Kluyveromyces lactis: one gene and its partner. The protein of the gene in region 1 interacts with the protein of each later gene in a pairwise test. Links are inferred from orthologs where the notes say so. Each region holds a gene or a part of one and is shown on either strand. Other genes may lie near its edges.

Region 1 (3,852 bases):
TTGAAGACTGTTCAGTTTATGCCTTTGAACAATAAACAATTGATAGAGAACTGTTTGTTGAACTTATTGAATGAACCAAAGGAAACGTTCAACTGGTACAAATACAAGAAGTTGTTGAAACGATGGGTCACCATTTGGATGGATGATAACGACATTTTCTCAAGGTTAATCTCTCACTACCAACTCTCCATCGGCATGTCAGATATTTCACCAACCATTTCGAATTTCAAACCAATGGGGATGGTACCTGATACCGTTAACGACACAACTAATTTATTCAAGATATATGACGATGCCAATGATAACATAATTGATGACGAAGGCTACGAAGAAGATAACGAAAGTGACTACAACGAATTGATAATATTGCCCAAGAGGCGAAGCATGGGTCACCATCCATCTGCAAGAGCGTCCAGCATCCATAAAGCCGGAGATCGAACTGATTTTTCACTTTTCAACAATAAGATCGACCACATCATAATCAAGGAGTAGCTACTCAAATCAAACAGAAAAATTCAGACAGAAGAATCAACATCCGCAATATCCATAACTATTTATTACTGATTACTACTAAGTGTCATCTCCTCTTCAGTCCTTTCATGATAATTATTACTATATTTATTCTGTTCACTAGACACTATTCTTTACTTCTCCCATTAAATATACTTATAATGTTTTATCAGTTAATATTCATATATACCATTAAAATACAAGGTGAAAAGCATAACAAAGGGAATAGAAAAAGAGACAGAACAATACATAACAAGACAGAGAGGTATATAGAGATTATTTCCGTTCCACCCAATACTGCTGTCTCATCATGGTAAAGATCAAGTTGCCTGATTTAGAGAGCGATGAAGACGTAGATCTGATAGGAACCTCGATCAACAAAGCTGCAACATCAATCTCTGACGAAGAGACCGAGGAGCAGCTGGCCAAACCGTTAAAGTTCAAGTTGAAAAGAAACAAACAGGTACCACTAGTAGAGGAATATACCAATGATGATGATTACTCCACGTTGTTTGAGCAACCCGCCGGAACAAAACCCCGTAATACAAAGGAAACGATTAACGTATTGAATTTAGAAGATTTAGAAGGTTCAGAGGAAGAACAAAATGAACCACCTAAGTACACCAAGAAAGTACAAAACCGCAGCCAGCTAGTTTCAGAGAAGAAAGTTAACGAAAAGACGTACGTGAAGTTGCTCAGCAATCAGGATAAAGACGATTTACGTGAATTGGGAATAACCGCCCAGGCTGATATTTACGCTGAAGAAGACGATCAACTATTGATGGATAACTCACTGCAAGACGAACGGTTAGCATTGGGAGACAAAGAAAAACAGCTGATGCAACAACGGAAACGTAAAGAGATTGAACAATTGATAAGTTTGCATGATGAAGAGACCGTTTTACCACAGGAAATACAAGAACTTGATAAAATAAGCGGTCAAAAGACAGTTCTTCTACCCAGATTGCAACCCGAGCAAAAATGGGAAGATATATATCAAGAGTTGAGCGAATACGCTGCTTCTCAACGTGACAGAGACACTCTAAGCTCCAAGAGAATCGAAATATTATCACAGCAATTGCAAGATTTGACGTTGAAGAAGGAAACCTTTCTAGAAGAGATGAAACAGATAGCATCGTCACATAACAACAAACATCCCACGTGACCAAACACGAATCACGTGATGCTAAATTGTGACTCACCATATAAGGTATGACGCATAGTTTGGGAAAGAGCCCATTCGTACAGAATGACTGCATGGTATATAACGAACAGCACGAAAACGGCAATTTCTCATTCAGAACAGAAAAAAGTTAATAAAAAAAGACAGTTTGACCAATTCTTACCGTTAAGTACAACTGATAACGAACTAACAGTTTTAGATTCTACAAAACTTGCAAGTATCTACACGCATTTGACAGCTGCTTTCACCTCAACCGACTGATTTTTAGGTACCCGAAGGCTGCATACAGAATTTTTTACTCCAGATTTACTAGCTATGACTATAATGAGCGCTGCTTCTTCCTCTTCTTCTGGTGATATTCGTCATTTGATTTCGATCAAGGATTTGAGCGATGATGAGTTCAAGAGCTTGGTCGATAGAGCCGAGTATTACAAGAAGGTGTTCAAGAGTAATGATATTTCAGAATTCCAAAAACAACATTTGAAGTTGTTGGGTAAGACCATCGCTTTAATTTTCACCAAGAGATCTACTAGAACCAGAATTTCCACAGAAGGTGCGGCCGCATTCTTCGGTGGTCAACCAATGTTCTTGGGGAAAGATGATATCCAATTAGGTGTTAATGAATCATTCTATGATACAACTAAGGTTGTGTCTTCCATGGTTTCATGTATCTTTGCCCGTGTCAATAGACATGCTGACATTTTGAACTTGGCCAAGGATTCTTCTGTGCCAATTATCAATGCTCTTTGTGACAAGTTCCATCCTTTGCAGGCCATTTGTGATATGTTGACCATTAAGGAACATTTGGACTACGATAACAATAAATTGAAGATGGCTTGGGTTGGTGATGCCAACAATGTGATTAACGATATGGCTATTGCTGCTTTGAAACTGGGGATCGATGTCGCCGTAGCCACTCCTCCAGGTATTGAATTGGACAGCGACATCCAACAAGAGGGTCAAAAATTAGCTGCTCAGAACAACTGTGAGTTTGTCTGCACTCATGATTCGATGGCTGCTTGTACAGACGCTAATATCTTGGTGACAGACACTTTTGTTTCCATGGGTGAAGAATTCGCTAAGGAAGCTAAATTAAGACAATTTGCTGGGTTCCAAATTAATTCAGAACTATGTTCTGTTGCTGCACCAAACTATAAATTCATGCATTGTTTACCAAGACACCAGGAAGAAGTTACGGAAGAAGTCTTCTACGGTAAAAACTCCATTGTTTTCGAAGAAGCAGAAAATAGACTATATGCAGCCATGGCCGCTATTGACATATTTGTGAACCACAAGGGTGACTTCTTCTCACATCCATAATTTCATTCGGATAGAAGTACCTCCTTTCCCATCGTTTCTCCATCAATGTTTATATTTGGGAAACGTTAATGATATATACTCTCTTATATAAATCGGTTGTATCCCGGTAGCTTGGAAGTTACCTGCATAGTCATATTATAATGTTATAAATTAATACAGACTTTCCCGCTAAACTGAAGGTTGTCAGTTGTCCCTAGACTGATCATACCTGTATCAGTATCCGATTCTTGTATACCGAACTCATACACTTCTTTAGCCAATTCACCAGAATACTTCGCTGTTTTCTCATTGGAAAACAATGCAAGTGTTATGTGAGGAACTTTGTTAAGGCAAGTCAAATGGTCCAAATGAGTACCATCTGGCATAACAATTGGATGGGTATCATCTAGCAGGGAAACGGTAGCTAGAATTACGTGCTTATCCCAGATTAAATCTCTCAATTTGAAAGAGACACTATCCTCCGTAGCGATAATGTTTTTGGTAGCCTCTGAGTTATTTTCTTTTGAGAGATACTCTTTGTATCTATCCAAGTATTTGGCCCACATTTGTTTAGCTTTTATACCAACAGACCTGATTTGAGACTTATGGTATAGGGTTATATGCAAAGCGTCTTTGAAAGGAGTTGAATCCAGACTTTTAAGCAAAGAAGGGTACTCTGATGCATGTGTTTCAATGGTTTTTCTGACATGTTGCAATAAAAGGTCTGTGTCAATTACATTAGCTGAGAAATATACAGGTTTATGCTGCTTTTTGTCAATTTTATTCCCACCTTTAATGATTTTCGTTATGGTTGGTTTGTAATTGAGAGCCCTTTCAAAAGCCTGATGTACGATAGAATC
Region 2 (3,735 bases), about 1.3 Mb from region 1:
TGAGCAGATTGCCTTTTGAAAATAATTTCAGATAAGCATCCACGTCGATATCTTTATTATTGTAATACATTGACCTCTGTATGAAAATTCGTAGTATATCTATCACATATTTGAATATTTTCGCTATACGATCTTTACCCGTTAGTGTCGCGAAAACTGCTTTCAAAATATCAACCTTGTTCATAACTTTGATCAACTTAACACTGTCACTACGTTTAGAGGAATTATGCACAGTTCTGTCCGCCCTACTCGTTGCACCCATTGTGCTTTCCCCTGCTGATAGAGATAATGTACCATTCTTTTCACTGGCATTAGTACCACTACTTCCACCATCACTGGAAATAACAGTGACTTCTAAGTTATTCAACTTTGTAGGTGTATGTGAATTATTCTGTATCATCATTGAATCATTCCGTGCTGAGATTTCAAATCCCTCCGTTTCGATGCTTACATCCGCTATATTAGGCGGTCTATAAAAATCGTCATTCATATCGACTTATTCTGAATTGTGTAAACGAGCCAATGATTTTCTTATGAGCTATCACCGTCCTTAAGTAGTCGATTCTTCAGGATCAAGATGATTATAGAAATTACAACAGAATGACTGAAGACAGTAATATCCTTTTCTTTCACCACTGAACTAGGAAAAGGAACCAAATTTGCTGACTCTATTTATTGCCGGGATATTTTTCGACTGATTAATGCAGCATTGGCATATGTAAAGGATACTCTTAATATAGTGCAATAATCTATGACTCGTCAGTTATCTGCATCAGCTTTGATTTGTTTTGTTTAAGATTTTCTGTGTTTTACATTTTTCCTTGGGTTTATTTTTTTAATTTTTGGAGACTATGCAGTTTAAACACCAAAGGAAGTCATCAACGGATTGAACTGAGCTGTGGGAACAAAAAAAATGAAGGCTCGAAGCCTTTAAGGGTTTACTGGATAATCCAAATGCTCGGAATTAGTGTCAAAAAGCCGATATTTTGAACTTTGAATACTCCTACCAGTACGCGGCAAAAAGATTGATCACCGATACATACTCAGCGCTCTATTGTGGATGACATTACCAACATTGGATAGATAGGCATCGTGCACGTGACTTGAAATACCTCTTCAAAATGATCGCTCACAATAACTATGAAAAAATGACGTTCATTAGTTTTTCTCCGTTACCCGATCTTCGCTAGTTTTATCACTTAACGAAATGCTGCATACAAACTATTATATCATAGATCATCAAGTCAAGCTTAGCAGCGCGATAATTACCGATCCCAAAGAGAGCGAAATCAAGACTGACATGTATTCTTATCTCGAGATGAGAACAATTCCTTTTTCTGATACTCATCCTCTTTTCACGTCCTGCCGTCCAATCGCCGTCAAAGTAGCAATTTTCGAGGCATGTTCTTTCTTCTATCTCTACATGTGATGGAATGTCACACATAAACGTTTATCTAGCCTGAAACCCTTAGCAATTGTCCCCTCCAACATATTGTTTGGCGATTCATTATATAGGATATGGTTGTTTTTTTTTGTTTTTTAACTATGTATTATTATCAGGAAAATCGGTAAAATACGTCAAAGGAAAGTTTATTGTCGTTAAGTGCAGGAACAAGAGAACGGTAAAGAGATGAAGAGGAGAAGCATCGGTATACACAAGCACTTAACGGATTATTATGAATTAACAGGGGCGAATTTTTTCTCGAACATGTTTCGCTGAATGGGATCGTTATAGTTTTTCGTCAAGTATATAAAGAACCGAGTTTCCCTTCGAGAGAAGTTAGACTTCTATAACAGCTTTTCATATGTCCAATGATTAGCGTCAATTCATATAATACTCAGCAAGTCGAAAAGAGGTTATTCACTGATATACATACTGTATTCTTGAGTGATCTTTAGAATTTTATTATAACACGCACAACACAAATACATAATGTCATCCGATCCACGTTTTGATTTCTTCCAACAAAAGAAGCTTGGTATTGTTCTAGCTCCATTCTCTGGTGGTCAACCAAAATCTGGTGTTGAAAATGGTCCTAAATACTTAATGAAACAAGGTTTGAGATCAGATATCGAATCTCTAGGTTGGGAAACTACTCTTGAAGAACCTCTAAAAGGTAGAGATTTCGAATCTGGTAAGAATGATGAAACTGATGTTTATGGAATCATGAAAAGACCAAATTTGGTTGGAGAAGCCACAAAACTAATCTACGAATCCGTTAAGAAGGTTTCCAACGAAGGCAGATTGGCAGTGACCCTAGGTGGTGATCACTCGATCGCTATCGGTACCGTGGCTGGCGTCTTGGACAAATACCCAAATGCTGGTTTGTTATGGATTGACGCTCATGCTGATATCAACACATGTTCTACTACTGAATCCGGTAACATTCACGGTTGTCCTGTCTCCTTCTTGATGGGCCTTGATGCTAAAAACACTCCTCCATCCTTAAAATGGGTTCCAAAATGTTTGGATCCAAAGAAGATCGCCTACATCGGTCTAAGAGACGTCGATGCCGCTGAAAGAAAGATTTTGAAGGATAACGGTATTGCCTCATACTCCATGTATCACGTAGACAGATATGGTTTGAACAAAGTCATCGAAATGGCTTTGGAAAAAGTTGCACCAAACGGTGATGAACCAATCATGGTTTCCTACGATGTCGATGCTATCGATCCATTATACGTACCAGCCACTGGTACTCCAGTAAGAGGTGGGTTGACTTTAAGAGAAGGGCTGTTCTTGGTAGAGAGAATCGCTGAAACTGGTAGGCTAGTAGCCCTTGATGTCGTAGAATGCAACCCGGAACTGGCTTCTCACGATGGTCACGTGGTAGATACTATCACAACTGGTTGTTCCATTGCAAGATGTGCTCTTGGTGAAACTCTACTATAAAGCTAGACTTCCGCTTTCAAGGCCGTCCCAAAATTGTACATATATAATGAAGCTCAGAAATGAGCAATAAATAATCCCAACTAAAATGATCTATTGAATATCTTTAATCATAAAACCCGTATCCCATTCCTGATGAACTCCTTTCTAAAGTCTCGTGACTGATAAATAACCCATTAATATTGTTGGTGATACTGGTATTACCAGTCACGTGTTGTTATTTCAAGATCTTTTGTATCTGATGAATCCATAGTGTTTATTAGCTATATATCTAGTAATGTATGTTGATGCACCTGGGGTTCTGGCATGACTGTGTTGATGGTCCTTGTCCAGATCTAATGCCTCCTTATATAATAATTCAGATTGGTTAATGGTGTTTCAACTAGAAATCCTTACATATCATCTTGATACTTAACCGCCTATTACATTGGTAGTTACCCGATCATAGTTTATGATCCGTTTCAACAAATATCGATTTTAACTTCCTCCCTCTGGTCTATTTCTGACCAGGTAAAGTCCCATTAGCCACAAAAACATCAACAGTAACATCTGCTTGACCCCGGCCCTTCATTGCCCCACTGCTCTTCTCCAGCTAGTATGTAGAAAACACGTTTGAAAAGGAACGTGAAAAGGAGTAAAAATAGCGGGTCGTAATGGTAAAGGCAAAAGAAATAAGGGTGGAGCAATTAATGGGTCACTTGTAACAACTGCTACCTAGCCTGGATATTCATATAATAGCTTATCTAATTTGTTCTAGCTCCTTCGCTACTTCTTTGTAAGAAGGAAGGGGATGAATTAAATCCATTTCTCCTGATCAATATGTCCAGGCATTTTGGTGAAATGTC

Evidence for each region. The genes of interacting proteins can lie anywhere in the genome.
Region 2: the proteins of ARG3 (region 1) and CAR1 interact in binary tests that used the Saccharomyces cerevisiae proteins (3 or more experiments, as listed by UniProt). The link is inferred for Kluyveromyces lactis from reciprocal best matches to the Saccharomyces cerevisiae genes ARG3 and CAR1.

Annotation. Positions count from the first base shown.
Region 1 is NC_006042.1:1,330,587-1,334,438, forward strand, and holds ARG3 (ornithine carbamoyltransferase), read left to right. Parts: upstream 1-2,008; coding exon 2,009-3,013; downstream 3,014-3,852. Other genes in the region: SIP4 (Sip4p), read left to right, coding at 1-492; NTR2 (Ntr2p), read left to right, coding at 821-1,675; TRL1 (tRNA ligase), read right to left, coding at 3,157-3,852.
Region 2 is NC_006042.1:59,583-63,317, reverse strand, and holds CAR1 (arginase), read left to right. Parts: upstream 1-1,933; coding exon 1,934-2,893; downstream 2,894-3,735. Other genes in the region: PEX25 (Pex25p), read right to left, coding at 1-490.